Linked DNA regions of Sus scrofa. The protein of the gene in region 2 interacts with the protein of the main gene of each other region in a biochemical or structural test. Links are inferred from orthologs where the notes say so. Each region holds a gene or a part of one and is shown on either strand. Other genes may lie near its edges.

Region 1 (5,303 bases), on a different chromosome or scaffold from region 2:
GTGACTGGGGTGACGTGGCCCGGGAGTGACGGAGGCCCATGACACACGCCGTGGGGGGTTTTTTTTTGGGGGGGGGAGAAAGAGCTTTTTACGCATGGACTTTGAGTGCTCAGTGTGCTCGCAATGTGGTCGTTAGCGGAATTCGTGCTTTCCTTGTGAGATTCCAAGTCACTCTTATTTATTTTTTCCATTCTGTTTTTGCACCAAGGAGGCTGCAGTCAAATAATACTCAGCAACTGATTTCCTCTCTTTGGACTGAAAAATTAAACAGATACTAAATTATGACAGTGAATTTAGTAAGGAGAGCTCCAAGGGCCCGAAAGAACATGTCTGGGATAATACGATGCTTCTAAGAGTATTGCAATCACATCGTGGCAATCATCAGAGCGTGCTGGGTAACTACCTCCTCAGCTAATACGCTTTCTTCTCGGTGATGACTAATCATGTTCTATTAAACGGCGGTGATGCTGGAAGAACTCGACTACACGAGAGTAATGAAGCCAGTACTCTCCCTGGACAAATTAGCTACAACTGATTTGACACATACCATCATAGGGGCTTCAAACCTGACAAACTCTGCTTGCTTCTGATTTATGCCGTCAAGCTCCTTGGAGAAGAGATGGAATCCCAGTGTTCCGTTCGGTAGAGGTGCAATGTACTGATGTGCTTAACTGCCAGTTAAGGGGAGTTGCCCCTTCTCCCGGCTGCTCGCCTCCCCTCCCCTCCCCCCCTCGTCCCCGAGTCCCTTGTGCCCTGCTCCGTCTCCCGGTCACCGGAGGGACCGGGGTCCGGCGCCGTGTGCTGCAATCAACGAACCCAGGCCCGCCGGCCGCTCCTGTCTGTCCGGCAGGGGAGTTTATGCAAAGGAATCCATGCTGCTGCCTCGGGGCCTCCGCCTCCGCCTCCGCGCCCCCCAGGAGCGTCCGGGGTTTGTGATGTCGCTGGGGGTGGGGGGTGGGGGTGGGGGGGTGGCGGGGGTCCGCCGGGAGGAGCCAGGGGACGCGTCGGGACTCACGTGCGGTGACTCCCGAGGCCGCGGGGGGCGGGGGGGAGGCCGCGGGTCCTCAGATGATGGTGGGGACCCTCCCGCCGCTGTTGCCCCGGTTGTTGTTCTTCCTGGACAGGTTGGGGGTGGCCATGAGCACGAAGCGTTCGTCGGGGCAGCCGTACTGCAGCAGGACGTCGATGCACTCCTGGCTGGAGGCCTGCCGCGCGTAGGCCAGCGCCGTGTTCCCGTGCGCGTCGCGGGCCATCACGTCCACCCCGTACTGCGGAGAGACACGGCCACGTGAGGGTCACCGGGCGCACGAGGGCCGGGCTAGCCGGGAGCCCGCTGGGGAGACCAGGGGCCAGGGGCGGCCGCACGGCCTGGCCCCGGGGGTGTCCTTTACGGGAAGAATGTGCGCTTCTTGCGCCGAAAAGCCCCTCCCCTGTGCAACAGACACGCACCCGGGAGAACTCCGGTTGTGCTATTTCTATTTTGTTTTTTAAATTTTTGGACTCTCTTCCTCTAAGTCCCTCCCCCTAACCCCCGTCGACCTGTGACCTCCTTTTCTACACGTTTGGTGCTTGTTTTATTTTGATCGATTGCTGTTTTGGTCTTTTTAGGGCCTCACCCGCGGCACATGGAGGTTCCCAGGCTAGGGGTCTGATCCGAGCTGCAGCTGCCCGCCTACAGCACAGCTCACGGGCAACGCCGGACCCGCGACCAGGGAGCGAGGCCAGGGATTGAACCTGCGTCCTTATGGATAGAATGGTTTCCCCTGAGCCACAGCGGGAACTCCCTGCTCGTTCTTAAAGTATAATTGATCTAGGACACTACGTTAATTCCTGGTACACGGCACAGTGATTTGATATTTCTACACATTTCAAAATGATCGCCATGATAAATCTAGCTGTCCCTTGTCACCATACTGCTAGTCCATGGTGACCTGCCAGCTGTAAACACAAAAAAACGGATCTCGGAGGCGGTTCATTTGCACTGGGTGAAACACCAAGGTAACACACAAAAGCACAAGAAGAAACAATCAGCTACACGCTGGCTCTTCAGAGATAATCTGGGCTCACGTTTCAGTGTGTTTCCGTCTAGCGGTTTTTCTTTGGACTTAAATGCAGATATGAAGAACAGAGATAAGAGCGGCACAAGCAATTTGTATCTTTTTTTTTTTTTTTAACCGAACATGGTGCACTGATCATTTTCTCATTATCATTAAAATTTACGCAAAAGCACAACGCAGAAGAACCAGGGTATTCCTCCGGACCAACAGCACTCAGTGCTCTGTCTGTGGGCGCCACATGCTGACCTGTCTATCCTCATGTGGACTCTTTCAGCATCTCTGGCTCTTAAAGTGATGACCGGAGGGGGAACTTCTAGGTTCAATCACACAAACGTTTTCTTTTTTATCTCTTATTTTTAAAAATTTATTTATTTACCTTTGGCCATACCTGTGGCAGGTGGAAATTCCTGGGCCAGGGATCGAACCAGCACCACGGCAGGGACCTGAGCCACAGCCATGACAACACCAGATCCTTCACCCACTGAGCCACCAGGGAACTCCTCCACAAGCATTTTAAAGTTTCTTGCTCTTGGAAAAGGGTGGATTGGGAGTTCCCTGGTGGCGCAGCAGGTTACGAATCCAGCGTTGTCACGGCTGTGGCTCTGGTCATTGCGGTGACTCGGGTTTGATCCCTGGCCCGGGAACTTCTGCGTACCATGGGCACGACCTGAAAAAGAAGGAAGAAAGGAAGAAAAAGGGTGGCTCGATGTCCACTTCCACTGTAACTTACGGAGTTCTTATCTCTCGTCTTCAAGAAGCACAGCATTAAAGGAATGCTTGGCCAGTGTGAGAGGAGAAGATGACATGTGACTTGTCAGTGGAACTGTGCTCCCTAAATTCATCTGCTGAAGCCCTAACGCCCAGTCCTTTAGGACGTGCCTGGATTACAGAGGTAATGAGCTTAATTGCGGCCACATGAGAGGGGCGCTCATCCAACGTCACCGAGGTCCTTTTAAGAAGATGAGACCCCAGACTCTGTGCGTGTGCTCAGAGAGGACCGGCCCCGCGAGGACGCAGCCAGAGCTCAGCTGTCTGCAAGCGGAGGGGAGAGGCCATGGGAAAAAGACCCTGTCCTCACCTTGATGTTGGAAGTGGCTTCCAGGACTGGGAGAAAATAAATTTCTGTTGTTGAAGCCCCCGCCCCGTCTGTGGCATTTGGTCAGGGCAGCCCCAGCAGACGCCTGTGCAACTGCTAACAAGATGCTGACCACGAGTGATTCGGGTACCTGTGCATCCATTTCTCATCCCACCCAACCCAAGAGTCAGGTCAAAGTACGTGGAAACTGGCATTGTGCTCAGCTGTGTGGACAGACCCGTCCCCTGCCCTGGGGGTGGGGACAGAAGAGCTCCCAGTGGGTGACCCCCCCTCTGGACGGTGTCCCACCACTGGTGAGCACGCACCTCCCTCCCCATCCAGTGACCCAGGGACCCACTCGTTCTGCCACCTTTGGAATAGGGACCTGCTGTGGCAGAGGACCCCACAGGCATGCAGGCACTGCCAGGCAGGGTGTGCGGGCCTCTCAGAAGCAGCTCCTGGCCAGTACAATCTCTCTCTTCCTTCCTTCTCCCCCTTCAGGCTGCATGGCAAATGCTCCAGTAGGAATTTTAAAAGGTGGAGTTCCCATCGTGGTGCAGCGGAAACAAATCCGACTAGGAACCATGAGGTTGTGGGTTCGATCCCTGGCCTCGATCAGTGGGTTAAGGATCCGGCGTTGCCATGAGCTGTCGTGTAGGTTGAAGACATGGCTTGGATCTGGCGTTGCTGTGGCTGTGGCATAGGCTGGCAGCAACAGCTCTGATTCGACCCCTAGCCTGGGAACCTCCATATGCTGCAGGTGCGGCCCTAAAAAGACAAAAGACGAAAAAAAAAAAAAAAAAAAAGAAATTTAAAAAGGTAACTTTCCCCAAGTGGAATTAACCAGGATAGTCCAGGAGAAACCCTTGGACAACCCTCCTACCACATCAAACCTCAAAGTGTGGGGTCCAGCATTTTTGTGCTGTGTGACAGCAAAGCCCCGAGGTTTGGGAATGGGAAAGGGAAACGATACAAAATCATTCAGTTCATATCCTCTCCCCGCCCCCCAAAGGTGATGGGAGTATTTCGTAAAAGGAACAAGAGGGACACCACCAACCACGCTTTGGCTGAAGGGATCATCACAAAAATGAACGTGGCAGAAACACTAGCAAATGCCGTGCAAAGCCGGCCACTGTGCCCGCAGAAGCAGCGCGTGTGCCACCAACGTCATTCCTCCCTTTTCTCGGTGCTTTGCACCTGCTCTCACACAGGGGAGCCAAAGGCAGGGGCCCCCACACCTACATCACCGATTCCCTCTTCCTAGGGCTTCCCACTTCCAGGTGGGCAACAATAACCTCTCCTCCCCAGAAAGATGCCCGGGGAGCAGCGCCAAGTGCCCGCCGTGACTCCCGCCCCACCGGGCGCGCGGGCGACCTACCCAGATGAGGAGCTGGGCCAGGACCACGTTGCCCTTCCGGCAGGCCAGGTGCAGCGCCGTGCGGCCGTCCCCTTCCCCGCACGTCTCGTTCACCTCGTCCCGGGAGCCGTGCGCCAGCAGCAAGATGACTGTCCGCAGGTCCTCGTCGGCGGTGGCCCGCAGCAGGTGCTGGCCCAGGGACAGCTCCGTGCAGGGCAGCGGGGCCAGGAAGAGCTTCTGCTCGTACTTGGCCCGGATCCACCGCTCCTTCTCTTCCCTGCAAGAGCCACCAGACAGGCCAGGTCACTGTAGGGCAGCAGAACCGAGGCTGCACCCCCTGCCCTGCTACCGCCCTGTGTGGTGTGCGGTCGGAGGCGACCAGGGGACGTGGGACAGCCGGAGACAAGTGTGTGCACGGCAGCAGAAAGCCCCCCGGGAAGGGCTTTCCTGCGGTTTTCAAACCTGGTAAGTGGGTTCCACCGGAGCACCACCTGGGAACCTGCTCGAGATGCGGATTCTCAGGCCCCGTCCCAGTGGGCCTCCCCACCCCGAGTCAGAACCCCTGGCGGGGGGTGTCCTGATGCCCTAACATGTGAGAACCATGGATCGGCTTTTCAGCTCTCACATGAGCTCTTTTGTTTTTCATGAAAGTTCCTGAGCCAGGGGCTGAATCCATGCCACAGCAGTGACAACACCAGATCCTTAACCTGTTGAGCCACCTGGGAACTCCTTCTTTGGCTTTTAGTGCAGCAGTGGCCCCGGAAGGCCCGGCCCACTGAGGATAGATGCCACAGGCCTGGCGGTCCCTCCTGCT
Region 2 (4,517 bases):
CTTAGGAGTCAGGCTGTCAATCAGGAGCACCCAAACATGGGAGAGCCACGAAATAGTTAAGAGATTTTATTCTAATAGCTGTAATTACAGTGCTTGTTTGTCGAAATGAAAACTGAAAACAAGTATACAAAACAGTTGATTACTAATCGTGTATTGAAAGCAGTAAGAGGTTCCACGACACCAAATAAACCAGTTCTGAGGTTTTCCCCAAGATAAAGTTTAACAGCTCCAGCTTCTTCAGTGTTTATCAAAATACAAAAGAAAAAAGTAGAGGTTATCATTTTCGATGGCAAATCTGACCCCTGCAGGCTAAGGGCGTGAAAGCACATGTAGACAGGGGCTCCAAGGGGCTGGGGCTCTAGGATGACCACCCATGCTCCTGCTGGTGAGACCCCAGAGAGCCCGGAGCAGGCAAGCAAGGGGACTGCAGGGCTCCCGCTCCAGCCAGAGTGTTCCAACCAAGGTGCCCATGTTGACTCAAGAAAAGGCTGGGGTTCCTCCAAGGGGTCTGGGAGCAGTGGCTGCAGCTCCAGTCCATCTCCTGGGCGGCCATGTGAGCACAAATACAAGCAAAAACGCAATGGGGTGTGGGATGACCCAAGACAGAGCCAATCAGAGGGATCCTATTGTGACCATGCAGAATGGATCATGGCTGGTTCTGCTCCATTTCATTTCATGTTCCCAATGGGAAACAGACCACCAGTGGACTGGACTCAGGTGATTACTGCAGAACCTACACTAGGCACATTTCTCCCTTCTGTGTGTTCAAGTGTTCTCCTTATCTTGTATTTGTAACTATTTTTAAAAAATGCACTGAGTTTGGGTTAAAAACCAACCACCAAAATGGATCTCAACACAGATCTAAAGCCCAGAGGAGGAGGATTGGGCCTGTCTGACACGTGACTTCTAGAGGACCCGTGTGCCTAAAATCCTTTCTCAGTACTAAACAGTGGGTTGATTTTCTTTTTACAATAAAAAAAGCTGAGTAATATTGCATAGGAGTACCAGAAACTGCCTCATTGGAAACAAAAACTATTTACATTAAATAAAAACCCAGTTGCAGGCTGCGTCTGCACATTTACAGCATGGTGAAGCACACTGTGACTGACCATGGAGACAGCTTCTGGCACTCACACCACAGGGGCACGTTTGCCACATGAGAGTAAAGCAAGGGTAGAAGAGGGAGTGAGAGGGGAGGAGAGAGGTGTACAGCTCACTTCTGGTTCCGGAGCTGATTGGACAGCCAGTCCAGTCCCTCATAGAGCCCATCACCACTGGTGGCACAGGTGGCCTGAATGTACCAGTTCCTGTGGCGCAGAGAGTGTAGGCCCAGCTTGTCGGTGATCTCGGCTGCATTCATGGCATTGGGAAGGTCCTGGTGGGAGAGGCAGCACAATAGGCATGGGTCAAGGAAACTGCATGGAACCCTTTCCACCCGTCCTGTTACTCCCTCATCAGACCCTCAGACCTGAGAGGCCAACCACCTGACATGTGCCCACCACCCAGCAACAGGGTAGCTCAGTCATGCATACCTGTTTGTTAGCAAACACAAGCAGAACAGCGTCCCTGAGCTCGTCTTCTGCCAGCATCCTCATGAGCTCCTCTCGGGCCTCATTCACACGCTCTCTGTCATTACTATCTACCACAAAGATGAGACCTGCAAAGGGAGGAGTGAGCATTAGTGTAGGCACCGAGGACATCCCCGACCTCTCCTACAGGCCATGGCCCTCCTTGAGGGGTACAACTGGGTTCCACCCTCACCCTGCGTGTTCTGGAAGTAGTGGCGCCACAGTGGCCGGATCTTGTCCTGGCCGCCCACGTCCCACACGGTGAAGCTGATGTTCTTGTACTCCACGGTTTCCACGTTGAAGCCTGGAGGAGTAAGACCCAAGGTGAGCATCTCCCTAGAGCCACTGCTACCCCTTAGCCTCCGAGGCCCGGCCTCCTCACCTATAGTGGGAATGGTGGTCACGATTTCACCCAGCTTCAGTTTGTACAGGATGGTGGTCTTTCCCGCAGCATCTAGACCCACCATGAGAATGCGCATTTCTTTCTTGCCAAAAAGGCCCTTGAAGAGGTTTGCAAAGATATTCCCCATGCTGTAGACTGGTGGGAGCAACACTGGCCAGAGAAACCTGTCGAAACAAGAAGCCCCTGGGTCTCTTTCTGTGCTGCCCAGGGTCAGCAGAACAGGAGCAGCTTGAGAGACCACCCCTACCCACTCACCCACAGGCAGACAGAGGCTCTGCTATCTCTCCTGGAAACTCAAGGCATAAGCCGATAAATAACCTGGTTTCCAAACAAGACAAACCCGTCCACCTGCTTCTTGAGCCCCCAAATTACCCTTAGAACGGAGAGTATGGGAATCTTAGAATAAGGATGACCGGAATTTGAAACAGCTGCTGCCATTATCTCCGGAAATGATGCCCAAGGTCACAGGGCAACTTACCTTTAAGACCTTCAACCTGCCACTGTGGGAGGTAATGTCCAACATGCATGAAGAGGTGTGGCTTTCAAATGAATGCTAGATTCTCCACCATCTAACAGAGCTCTTCAAGGAGCCAGAAACAACCACTGCCAGGTCCTACCATTCCTCCCAACTGCCCCAAGTCTCAGTGAAACACAGTCCATGTTAAGATGACCAAAGCACAAGGAGCTAGAAGGGCCCATGGCAGAGACCAAAAGCCAACCTTTATTAACATGCTGAGAGCTTAGCACATCCTGCAGGTAGGACCAGGGGGTGAAAACACTTGGGCTCTAGGGTAGCACATGAAGGCATGCAGTCCAAAGGTGAACTCACAGCAACGGTCCTGGAGAGCCTGTCAGGGGAAACTTTGCCGAAAGCTATGGTCAGTGCTATCCTTGAGAGAAGGCCTATTCCGTGTAGCAACATGCTCACACAAGAACATGTTCCTCCCAGGCTTTCCTTACCCAGTAGAGCAGAAACACTGGGATACCATCAAGCTGGCTAGGACACAAGGTCAGAGCCCAGCCAGCCCCAGACACCCAGATCTGCAGGAAGGCACAAGTGACCGTAATTTGTCATTTGTGGGAGAGTGCTGCTCATGGGAAGAGGAGATCTCCCATCCTGAAATGTCCCCAGGGCACCAAGGCTGCCTAGGCCTGGCCCCTCCACATTCAGCACTTTCACTCTTTAACAGTTTTAGTTGCAAACAAGAAGGGAGAAAGTTCAAATGCTGAAAGCTAAGGAATCTGGATTTTTAGCATCTAAGTGAAGCCACACTGTGGTAGCTTTCAACTGTAAAGAACTCTGTGTGAGTGTTGACAGAAAACCAAATGAACCAGAGAACTTGTTCCAAGCAGGTAGGGAGCTACTTGCACGTGGATCACTGAGAGGGTGTTGGTGGATGGAAGCCACTGTCAAGGCTAGGAAGGGGCTTTGCCCTACATTCCTAATCCCCCATCCCTGGAAGTAACCATGAGCTCCCAGTCTTTGGGCTTTGGATGGATGTTGCTGGGGTAACCAGGCATGCACCACTGTACTCCACCTGGGGGGTGTGCCCCAGATCCCCACTGTTCCATGTCACCTCTGATGACAGGCTCAGGTGGAGTTGCCAGATCTCCACTTAAGTTTGCCAAGTCTCCACTGTAAGATACTTTTTGCCTAGTCATCAGTGAGGACTGGGTGACTATGTACATGTCCTGCTCCTCATCCAACTTCCACCCTCTAGTTTCAGCACTCTGACATTTCCTGGCTGAATTACTGCTATGAAAACTGTCAAAACGGTGATTTTCTATTTAGTCATTCTCAAAGCTGTTAGTATTCTACTGCAAGGAACCACCATTCCCTTCTTTGTGTACTGATATGGCATGAACTCATGCATTCTAGTTTATTCAGTGGATCAGAACAACCACCCCAGTGGGTCTAAGTGTGCCCAGTAGAGCCCCTTCCAGCAGGCTTCAGTGCACTTGATACTTTTTTCTTTTCGATTTTGAATACTACCTATATATAAAATGAAAACTTAAAAAAAGATCTTTAATATATACTTCCTTTGTTGCAGCCAGCCAATTTTCCTAAACATAGAGGATGATAAATTATGGAGGACAGAAGGAACTGAACTCACACATTTATCTCAACTTACTCCTAAAATCACTACCAATAAAGAAAAGTGATGACTGACTCAAAAGGACAGAGAGAAGTGTTGGGGGTGTGGAGGGTGGGAAGACAACAAATTTTGGTGAGATCTAAATCTGACCAAGTGGGACCTTTTTGGAGTAAGTAAACCAGGAGCTCTGATTCTACTATCCAGGCAGAAGGCATGGGGTGCAGTGGGATACAGTGCAGAGGGATACAGTGAAGTCAACAGGGAGGCACAGTGCCCAGGTGGACCTGCTCATGAGACCTGGAGGCCTCAAACCAAGGACCTATGGATTCTTGCATCTGGAGGCCCCCAAACAGCTCCTAACTCCCTTTAAGAAGACCCTAATGGAAATGACTGAAACAGACAGAAATCTTAAGAGAAGCAAAACAGAAAATATACTATTTAAAAAGAAAA
Region 3 (5,035 bases), on a different chromosome or scaffold from region 2:
CTTGGATGCCTTCCTGTCAGCTAAGGATGCATTCAAAGTCCTAACCTGGCTGTCCACGCCCCGAATGATCAGGCCCAGGCGTCCCCTTCCTTCCCCATCGCCCCCATCCCCCCCATACTGGGGATGTCAGTTATGCCAAAACAACCTGCCTCTTCCTGCCTCTGCACGCGCTGTTCCCTCTGCCTGGGATGCTCTTCCGGGCATCTCCATCGAGCCAGGTACCTCCCCGCACACAGTACCCACAGTTCAGCACCTACGGGTCACTCCATAGAAGGGAGCAAAACAGGCTGAGACCCTCTCCCGACCTAGGGATCTCATTTCCCATGACTTTCTTGAGTCAATGACTCCATTTCTGAGGAACCACTGGGAGTTGGGAACTCCACTTCCCATCAGCACCTGGGGCTGAGGTGGTCAGAGCCTCGGTTCCCAACCTGGGGAGAATCAGGCTAAGGAAAACCTGACAGCGGAGTCCTGAGAAACTACATCTCCCAGGAGGTCTTCAGAATGGCTCTCCTGACAGTGAGGCGGCCAGCACCACATAGCTTGCTGGGAATTGTAGTCCAGCAATCTAGGGGTGGGAGACCCCACCTTCAAGGGTGGCAGTGTTGTTACAGCGCTAAGGGGCCTTTGCCCCGGATGTCTGTGGCCAGGAGGCAAGGCTAAGATCCAGGCCTTTCGGGATCCTCCACACCCCACTGGGAGCACTTGACAGTAGGGGTTCGACCCCTCAGGAACAGAGGACAGAGCACGGGGAGTAACTGCAGTTCTGGATGCCCTGGCGCCACAGCTTCCCTTCCAGCAGCTTCTTGGTCCAGGGCCTGCCTGGAGTTGTGGTTTCTTGTACCAAAGCCTCCTCACCTGCAGACCTGGACGAAGGAGGGAGACGCAGGGTCTCCCAACACCCCTCTCAAGATCATGTGCTTTTGTTCTTTGGGGATACCATGCATACCCCAAACTGGAAGGCAACGGGGGACAGGCCTGGACCTGGGGCTCAGGGGACCCTACCCTCCAAGGAGGCAGTCCTCACACTTCTGGAGGCTGTCAGATTCCTGGGAAAGGAGATGGTAGAAAAACGCAGGTTCTCAGCGCTCTCCCTGCCCGCTGTAAAATGGCCTCCGAAGGAGGGTCCTCTAGTGCCTGAGAAATGGGGTTCAACTGGCCTAGAGCCCTGCCCTTCTGGCCCCAAAGTCCTGCCACGTCTGTACTGGCCCCAACCCCTTTCTGACACCGCTGACCGCCTGCCCAGCCCTCCGAGCAAGCCTTCCCCAATCCCCAGGCCTTCTCTCTTCTTTTTTCCAGATTCACCCTCCCCACAACCTCCCAGAGCAGCTCCTCTTTGGAAATCCTCCAGCTCTGGTTTCCCCCAAAGCACGAGCCCAGCCCACCAGATACCACGCGTCGTTCCTCAAAGACCACAAGCCCGCGAGAGCAGCAGTGGGACCGCATCGGCCTGGCTCCTTGCTCTGAAGAGCCACCGAGAATGAGCGTCAGACCTCGTCCCCCCGCCCGGCCCAGCGTACCTGCGGGCTCAGCACCCAGCGGTTCTAACTCCACGCTCACTCCAGCCACGTTCAACTTCTGTCTTCGCTCCACCTCCGCAGGCTAAGCGCGCAACCAAAACCCAGCCATCCTGGGGTTGGAGAGGCCCCGTGGGGCTACACAGCACCCTCTCCCCACCTGCTGTGAGAGCCACCGAACCATCAGCGTTCCTGGCCCCGGGCACAGATGAAAGCTGCCGGGCCAGCTCCGCCAAGCACCTTAGCCCCATCAACCCCGAGAAATGAGGTGGTCCGCAGGCCACGAGTGGTTAAATAATTAATATTACCAATGGCGTGTTAATTACAAATAACGAGAGAGGAGCTAGAGATGATGGATCTTCCAAACGGGGAACCAGGATCCGCAGCCCCGGGGCCCAGGGGTCCGGCCACCCGGGCGGGGCAGCTCCGTAATAAATAATGGAGTTGGGGGCAGGGGGTCAGGGCTGCTCCTGCTTCTTCTTGACAGAAATCCGCTTCTTCCTTGCTGCCAACATCTCATAGAAGGGGTCCACGCTCACGGCGGCCCTGGGGAAGGGGCGGGATCCCAGGGTGAGGGCTGAGGCGTCGGGGCGCAGCCCCCCAACCCTCCCAAGGTCTCTGGGGGCCCAGGCTCACTGGATGGACTTGATCCACTCGTCCTTCTCCTCCTGCGTGGGGGCAGAGATCCGGTACACCATGTGGTTGCCCTCGACCACCCGGCCATCTGCCTCCGTCTTGCAGGCTTTGATTAGCTGCCCCTTGTTGTTGGGGATGTACAGCTCGAAGCAGTTCTGGGGAGACACGGGAGAGGCAGGGCAGCGGGGAAGAGCCGGCCCTGGGGCCTGAGGTGCTCCCCCGCGGCGGCGGGACGGGGACAGGGAGGGTCTTACTGGTTTCCGGGGGTCGTCCACTTCGCGGATGCTCAGATTCTCCAGCGGGATGATGCCTCGGGGCTCTTTGTCCTGACCCAACGAGGGTGAGCAGACTCAGACCTCCCTCCCGAGCCTCCCCGGAAGCCCCGCCCCGGCCCCGCCCCCGGCCCCGCCCTCACCGTAGTGTATTCAAAGTAGTAGAGGCAGTTGTCAGTGAGGATAAACCAGCGGCGCTTCCACGTCTTCACCCGGCCCCCTGGAAGGGAAGGGGGGGAGGGGGCCTGGGCTCAACGGGGGGACGGGGCCTCTGGGAGGGCGGGGAGGGCGGGAGAGACAGAGCCGAGCGGGAAGGTGGCCTAGGACAGAGCGTGGGAAGACAGACAAGCAGGGACAGGCGTGTCGTGTTGGGGGACCCCGGGGAACCGGCCCACTCCCAGCGTGGGCCTCTACACTCTCTAAGGCTGTCCGTCCACCCGGGGCCCGGGAGTCCGAGCCTCCAGCCCCCCTCACATGGGCAGCCCCCTCCCCTTGTGTCCTGCCGGGGACAGGCCTTGTACCTACCTCCTGGGGCAGACAGCGAGAAAGCAGGCAGGACCAGGCGAGAAGGGAAGGCGGAGGAAGGGGGTGCCCCGCGAGCCGCAGGGTGGGCGAGGGAAGGGGTGCGCAGGGGGTGGCCCAGAGAGAGACAGGAACAGCAGAGAGACAGGCAGGGAGGGAGGCAGGGAGGGAGGGAGAGAGAGGGAAGAAAACCAGTTACATCCACATGAGGGGGGACCCCTGCCGGACCCCTCCCTCCCAGGAAGGCCAAGGATCCGGAGCCGCACTGAGGCCAATCGGCTTAATCCCCAGGATGCATCCGAGGCCAAGGGGGGGGTCCTCCACTGCCAAGGTGAAGAGGTCTCGACCCGGAGGTCATCCCCACAAAGCTGAAGACAAAACTCCCCAGTCCTTGGGTCAGGGTGGGTGTGGGGGACTCACATTCAGGGGAGTACAAACCAGCTGTGTGACCTTAGGACAGCTACTTGCCCTCTCTGGACTCCAATGTGGAGACACACTCCAGGCCATACCTTCCTGCTTCAAAGTGACCTGCTTCTGGGCTCCGTGTGGTCCCCAAAGGATTAAACAGCAGCAATAACGACTTTGACTAACCGTCTTTGTGGGTATGACCACCACCACCGAGTCCCTTTCCTATTTCAGTGTTTTAAGAGGTGCTTTTTTTTTTTTTAATGACCTTGTGATGACCTGGCCAGAGATCTGGATCTAAGGCCACCTCTGCCCTGCGGGCCGCTGGACAGTGGCCGAGCTGCGATTTCCTCATCTAAGAAATGGGAAGGATTCCTGCTGACAGGAGCGGTCTGGAGGGGAACCAGCCCCTCCTGCTTTTCTTTCCACCCCCTCGCCACCAGGGGCGCCACTTGGCCTTCCTTGAAGAATCGAAACTGGCCCCAGACCCCTCGGACCCGTGAGCCTCTCTGGAGCTGATGCAGATAGATCATCAGCCAGCATGGGGCCTGGGAAGAGTGACTGGCATTCTTTATGCCCCCGTTGCCAGAGAAGGGATTCCTCAATCTGAGAGCACAGCTGGGGGGAAGAGGGTGCTGAAAGGGGTGGGTGGTGAGACCTGAAGGGAGCAAAGCCCTGCTTTGATCCCCTGCTTGGGGCTGGAAGCTTCCTCTGCTCCCCCCCCCCGCTCCACCCCCTCACTGTCCAGGCTCACAGTCTCCACTGCCTGCACTGGATGGTAATTCCTCACCAGAGTCTCTGCCTCCCTGAAACAGCTGTTCTCCGCTTCCCTATTAAAAACCCAGCGGGACCAACTATTACCAGACACAGCTCCGAGCCAGCAGCTCTCAACCTTGGCCAGCACTGGAACCCCTGGGGAGCTTTGGACATGACGGATGGCCTGTCCTGCACAGAAGCCTGACTTCACGGGTCTGTGACCTGGTTACTGCGGTTTTCAGAGCTCCCAGGGGGAATCTCCAGGCAGCCGAGGGTTAAGAGTCACTCCAATCCTCAGACAACTGCACCTACAGGACCTCTGCTAAGTGACCTTGAACTTGCTGATGCCCCGTTCTCTAAAGGTGGATGGACCCCCGCCCCATCTGCCCCATTCTGGTGTTCTGGGTTCATCTGAGCCAGCCAGGGCAGTCCCCTTCCCACCAGGAACCAATCCAGCCAGCTGAGAGGTCCAGGGGGCAGGCTGCCCAGGTTTCCTCCCTCTGCAGGCTCTTTTCTGCCTCCTGTGGGTAATGTTCTGCCTTTTTTTTTTTTTTTTTTTTTCTTAAGGCCGAACCTGCAGCATATGGAGGTTCCCAAGCTAGGGATCTAATCGGAGGTGTAGCTGCCAGCCTACACCACAGCCACGGCAACACCAGATCTGAGCCTCGTCTGTGACCTACACACACAGCTCATGGCAACACTGGATCCTTAACCCACTGAGCAAGGTCAGGGATCAAACACGCAACCTCATGGATACCAGTCAGATTTGTTTCTGCTGAGCTAAGGTGACAACTCCTGGGCCGTGTTCTGGGCAGGTACACTACCTCTGGAGCAGCCACCTTGCTGCTGGGCTGATGAGGAGGCAGCAGACGGTGAGGGCAGACTCGATGGTCTCCCAGTGGGTCTAGCCTGGAACCTGATTCCCCG
Region 4 (5,303 bases), on a different chromosome or scaffold from region 2:
AGGCCTCAGCTGCTGTCTCCATCCCCCGACTCCATCCCGTTGCCCCTGGCAGGGCCCTGCTCCACTTCTCCCCAGCCTCCGCTTGCTGCGGGGGGCCCCAGATCCAGCACTGACCAATGATGACTCTCCGGTCATCCGCAATGAGCATCTTGCTGTGGATATAGATGAGCTCTGAGACTGGGTGCCCGCCCAGCTCTCCATGTGTGCGAAGCCCACAGATGGAAATATAGTCCCGCCATGCTGTCCCCACTGTGAGAGATGGGGGGAGGGGGGAGGTGAGAGGTGCCCCCGGGGTGCAGGTGGAGCCCTGTACCATCCACCTCCTCACTTCAGAAGCCCTCGAGAGCCCAGTCTATATACTTCTCCCTGCATGAGGGGCAACCTCCTTCCCTCTGCCCCCGGGGTCTCCAGCTCTTCCATCGCCCCCTCCCCCGGGGATCCAGGCCTTGAACCCCCAACCCCCAGCACTCACTAGCTGCTTTGAGGCGATGGAGGACTGAATACTCCCCACGACACAGGGTCCTGAGGGAAAAGAATAGGTGACGGAGGTCGAGACTGGGGGAGCGGATGGGGGCTTTAAGGGGAAAGGTGGACCTCGAAAGTCCAGCAGGAGGGGAGCCAGGATAGGGGCACAAGTAGGATGGGACTGTGGAGGGCGGCGTGTGGCGGGATGCGGGGGTCACCTGTAGGTAAAGTGCAGAATGGCCTGGATGGAGTTACCACCACCTGTGGAGATGTCGCCCTCAAACCCTGGGAGCAGGGGCAAAAGCACGTAGACGCGGAAGCACTGCCCCTGCCTGGGGAGGGGTGGAGTCAGAGTTGTGATCCGTGCCCGCCTCCCCGCAAGCTCCACCCCTCCTGTCAGGGTAGGCCACGCCCACCCCCAGGCTCCACCTTACTTGTGCGCCTTTAGGATTCGGTCCACAATCTCATCGCCCACCTTGTTCAGAACCGTCCGCCCATCTGAGCAGCTAATGAAGAACTGATTCTGGGGCAGGAACCCAAGGGAGAACCTCAGCAGTCTGGTCCTGGCGCCTGCCCTCCGCTCCCCGCTGCCTTTCCCACGCCTAGGCTGCAGGCCCCCGGCCCCAGGCTTCCTCAAGGACTGGTCCCACCGACAGTCTAAGTCTCCCTCCTGGGACGTCCCCTCTGTTCTCGGCCCCACCCTCACCCCGTCAGACCTCAATGTAGAGGAAGTGCTGGCTCTCCCTGATGGTGTGCAGGTAGCCATTGAGGATGGAGGCCTCCAAAGTGCCCGCTGACCAGCGGTCCACCGACCGCAAGACCTGCGGGGACGGGGAATACGACGTGGTGGGTGACCCCGGGAGAGGAGGGCTCTGCGGGGGGGCTCTCGGGTCAGGGAGAGGGGGCTGGGGCAGCGGGCTGAAGTCGGAGCCTCACCTGCACGGTGGCGCACTGCCCTCCCGGCAGCACGAAAGGGAGCTGGTTTGCGGTGCTGATAGACTTGGGCAGCAGGTAGGGGTACATGGGTGTCTTGTACTTGGCCTTTGTAGTCTGCAGCGGAGGGATGGCAGGGTCAGCGGAGGTGACAAGCTACCTTTGGCTCCCTCCCAACCTCCGCCCCCACAGGAGGGAGCCAGCACCTTGGTGAAATTCCAGCGCTGGATAAAGTGCCGGGCAAGGTCCCGGGCAGGTGGACCATGGACTACCACTCCGACGTCCCGCCATGGCATCCGGGGTGTGGTCTCCCTGTCAATGAAATCTGAGGGTCCCGGGAGAGTCAGCAGAGGGGCCAGGGATGGTCTCTTGGGGACACTCGGGGCAGGGAGGAGGAGGTGCTCACCAGAGGGGAGGCTGCATTACCCTGGACCCAGCTCAGCCCATCCTCAGTCCCAGCCCTCGGGGGCTTTGGAGAGGGACCCCTACCTTCAAAAGGCCGATCCAGCTGCACCCAGTCCTTAGTGATAAGATTGCTGTAGTCCTTGCCCAGCCAGAAGAGTTGGTTATGGGAGAGGTCTGGGGTGTCTGCAGAGTCTGAGCTCGAGGTGGGAGGCTGTAGGGGGAACACACCCAAGCCCAGGGCAGGGAGAAGTCATGGGGCCATGCAGAGCCAGGCCAGAGAGAAGAAAGGAGCACTGGAAGACTGGGAGACAGAGAGACACAGCGAGTAAGAAGGAAGCAGAGGCTTTGATTCCCGGGCCCTCCCCTTCAGCTGCATTTGAAGTCCCTAGAGGAACGGGGGGGGGGGTGGCTGGAAATGGGGAGGGGACTGGGTCATAGTATCTGCAAAGCAGGTGCTTGGGGGTCCCAGAAAGGCCAAGGAACCCTGAGAGTGGGCTTGGAATGATTGAGGGGAAAGGCTGAAGCCAGGAAGGGGTGGGGTGTAGGTTTAGGGTTAGCTGGGACTGGGGGAGCCCAGGAAGGCCTTGGAGGGGTTACCTTGGGAGCAGTTGACTCCGAGGAGTCCCCAAGGTCGGTCAGTCTGTAGTGTAGGTCATCCCAGCGGCCATAGGCGAGGTCCAGCCCCCCCAAGAAGGCCACTACTTGGTCCACCACCAGGAGCTTCTCATGATGGGCCCACAATGTCACCTGGTCTGGGTGGCGCATCACCTAGACCAGGTATGGGTGGTGGGGTGGAAGAAGGCAGAGGAGGTGTGTGCGAAGGAAGAGTGGAAGGATGAGCCATCCAGGGAAGGGGCAGACTGAGGGGAGGGGAAGTGTGACGGGGGGGGCTGTAGGGGAGGGGTCTCTGAGGGCCATGAGTCACCTTTATGTTGGGGTGCAGCAGCATCAGAGCCCTCTTGCTATAGCCACTGTTGATGCCCAAGGCCAACTCCACTTCCTTGAACAGCAGTACGGATACCTGGACACCCTCCTCCTGGTGGTCAGTGAGGGAATCAGATCCTGATGCCTCTCGGAATGACTGGTGTCCACCCTCCCAAACCCTTCCCCACCCTCAGGATTCCTGTATGTTCTTCCACGGCGCCTGGGGATCCTCAGTGCCCTGCCCCTTACAGCCTGCTGTCATGCTTACAGCCAACTTCGATGGAATACCATCCATCGGCTTACCCACTCGTCCATCCACCTATCCACCCAGCTACCTAGAATGATTTTCATCCATCTTCCCAACAATTTACTCCTCCCTTATCTACCGTCTATCATTCATCCATCTAGCCACCTACTCTGCTATTGATCCACCGTCCCAACCTCTTATCCTTCCATCTCTCTCCCTTTCCATCCTCTCTCCATCACCTGCGAATCCTTCCTCCCATCCGTCAACATCTATGGATGCCTGCAACATAGCAGACATACTGTGCCTTGGATTGGAGCTAGTGATATCCATCAGCCCAGGGAGAGAGACAGACATGTACCCCCCCAGGTAACACAATAGATGTTTGGGTACCAGGAGGGAAGTCTATACCAGGTAGAGGAGGGGCAAGAACAGGGAGGTGTCAGTTGCTCTTAGGGAAGAGGAAGAGATGGTGTCTGCCAGACACTGAGCCAGGATGGGCACATTTCCGCCTCCTCAAGTTTCAGATTCCCTACCTTCCCCATGTGCAACCCCCTCTGATCAGTCTCCACCCACAGGCAGCCCCTCACCACACCTTCCCTCCAACCTGACCACTCTCCTCACCGCCTTCTTCTTGAGCATAATGTCCAGTCTCCAGTCATCAGAATGGGCTGGACGCTTCAGGTAAATCTCAGGACTCAACCTGGGATTCAGGGCAGGGGGTGAGGGCAAGCTAAGCTCCCAACAATAGTCACTCCTCCCCTTCCCTCTTTTTCGGACCCATGAGCGGATCTGTCACCGGCCCTATCCTACCCCGGCTTGCTCGGGCTTTCCCCCCACTCACCACCAGTCTGTGATGAAAATCTCTTCTTGAGCTCGCAGGATGGCATCAGCCACAGCAGCAAAGTAACCTGCCCCATTCACAAACCTGGGGGGGAGGCCAAGCCAAGGAGGTCAGAGGAGTCAGAAGCCAGAAAGCTCTGGAGAGCGAAGACCGGAGGACAGTCATGGGTCAGAGGTGACAGCAGGGTCAAAGACCAAGAGTGATCAGAGAGGTGTCAGACGGTATCAGATCTATCAAAGTGGGATAGATTTGCCAGTATGAGCTAAATATAAAATTACAAATCACAACAGATACAATACACTAAAGAAAATGACTGAAGATTGGGAGAATTAATACATCATATATAAAGAGTTCCAAGAAAACAACAATGAAAAGACATATAAGCCAACTGGACAAAGAATAAGAACTGACGGTTCACAGGGAAATTAAAATAGCCAATCATAGGAAAAGATGTTCAATTTCATCACCAAACAAGGAAATTGATATTAAAATAAAACAACACTTTTAAAATTCACTAGATTTCCAAAATTTCAAACTGCAGCTAACATTCAATATTAGCATATGAGGAAGTGAGCACTCTCACAGACTGTGAGACTATACTTTGGTTTTATACCCTTTTGAGAGAACAATTTGGCACTACCTATCAGACTATTAAATGCACATGCCCCCAATACCATTAAATGTACTTAGTAATTCTATATCTAGGAAGACATTCTATTAAACACTTAGAAAAACTGTGTTCAGTGCAGCATCATTTATAAGAGAGAAAGTGAGAAATAATGTAAATACCTAATCTCTAACACATGCATTAAGTGAAAAAAATAAAACAGAAGAGAGTACATGATCTCATTTATGTTAAAACAAAAACTAACATGCATGCATGAGCATGCGGAAATATGCAAGTGAAGATCTCAGAGAACAAATATCAAACTATTGCCAGGATTACTTTTGGGGAGAAATGGGATTGTTGGGAGGGGGTGTAGGGAAGAAGTAACTGCTGGGGGGGTAAAGGCTTGTGGAATGAATTTTAATTTTCCACTTAATGTGTTTCTGTATTGTTTGACTTTTAAGAACTAACAATCCCATACGCTGGTTAAGAGCAGGGTCTTTACCCAGATTGTCTGGATTTTAATCCTGGTTCCACTGTTACAATGTGTGTGACCTTAACTTAACTCCCCCTTGGCTCAGTTTTCTTTAAAAAATTTTTTTAACTCAATGAATTTTTTTTTCTTGCTTTTTAGGGCTGCTCTCGTGGCATATGGAAGATCCCAGGCTAGGGGTCCAATCAGAGTTGTAGCCGCCGGGCTACACCACAGCCTTGGCAATGCCTGATCCTTAACCCACTGAGCAAGTCCTCATGGATCCTAGTCAGATTTGTTAACCGCTGAGCCACAAAGGGAACTCCCAACTCAATGAATTTGATTACATTTATAGTTGTACAGCGATCATCACAATCCAATTTTATAGCATTTCCATCCCCCCCACCCC

What was found.
Region 1: of the proteins of ARF1 (region 2) and AGAP1, one has a biochemical effect on the other in vitro, tested with the Homo sapiens proteins (2 studies listed by BioGRID, with this or other methods). The link is inferred for Sus scrofa from reciprocal best matches to the Homo sapiens genes ARF1 and AGAP1.
Region 3: the proteins of ARF1 (region 2) and CYTH2 are reported together in a solved structure, tested with the Homo sapiens proteins (3 studies listed by BioGRID and IntAct, with this or other methods). The link is inferred for Sus scrofa from reciprocal best matches to the Homo sapiens genes ARF1 and CYTH2.
Region 4: the proteins of ARF1 (region 2) and PLD2 form a complex in vitro, tested with the Homo sapiens proteins (2 studies listed by BioGRID). The link is inferred for Sus scrofa from reciprocal best matches to the Homo sapiens genes ARF1 and PLD2.

The regions. Positions count from the first base shown.
Region 1 is NC_010457.5:135,987,724-135,993,026, reverse strand, and holds part of AGAP1 (arf-GAP with GTPase, ANK repeat and PH domain-containing protein 1), read right to left. Parts: intron 4,767-5,303; coding exon 4,511-4,766; intron 1,269-4,510; coding exon 1,065-1,268; 3' UTR 1-1,064. UniProt on the Homo sapiens protein: GTPase-activating protein for ARF1 and, to a lesser extent, ARF5. Directly and specifically regulates the adapter protein 3 (AP-3)-dependent trafficking of proteins in the endosomal-lysosomal system.
Region 2 is NC_010444.4:51,233,174-51,237,690, reverse strand, and holds ARF1 (ADP-ribosylation factor 1), read right to left. Parts: upstream 2,137-4,517; 5' UTR 2,136-2,136; coding exon of another isoform or gene 2,099-2,135; coding exon 1,951-2,098; coding exon of another isoform or gene 1,873-1,950; coding exon 1,762-1,872; intron 1,658-1,761; coding exon 1,533-1,657; intron 1,376-1,532; coding exon 1,214-1,375; 3' UTR 1,180-1,213; downstream 1-1,179. UniProt on the Homo sapiens protein: Small GTPase involved in protein trafficking between different compartments. Modulates vesicle budding and uncoating within the Golgi complex. In its GTP-bound form, triggers the recruitment of coatomer proteins to the Golgi membrane.
Region 3 is NC_010448.4:53,875,624-53,880,658, reverse strand, and holds the end of CYTH2 (cytohesin-2), read right to left. Parts: exon of another isoform or gene 2,951-5,035; intron 2,646-2,950; coding exon 2,569-2,645; intron 2,480-2,568; coding exon 2,408-2,479; intron 2,309-2,407; coding exon 2,154-2,308; intron 2,064-2,153; coding exon 1,976-2,063; 3' UTR 1,803-1,975; downstream 1-1,802. UniProt on the Homo sapiens protein: Acts as a guanine-nucleotide exchange factor (GEF). Promotes guanine-nucleotide exchange on ARF1, ARF3 and ARF6. Activates ARF factors through replacement of GDP with GTP.
Region 4 is NC_010454.4:52,076,503-52,081,805, forward strand, and holds part of PLD2 (phospholipase D2), read right to left. Parts: intron 3,900-5,303; coding exon 3,816-3,899; intron 3,675-3,815; coding exon 3,596-3,674; intron 2,840-3,595; coding exon 2,729-2,839; intron 2,572-2,728; coding exon 2,401-2,571; intron 2,015-2,400; coding exon 1,888-2,014; intron 1,724-1,887; coding exon 1,605-1,723; intron 1,516-1,604; coding exon 1,402-1,515; intron 1,287-1,401; coding exon 1,182-1,286; intron 989-1,181; coding exon 900-988; intron 798-899; coding exon 684-797; intron 523-683; coding exon 473-522; intron 250-472; coding exon 115-249; intron 1-114.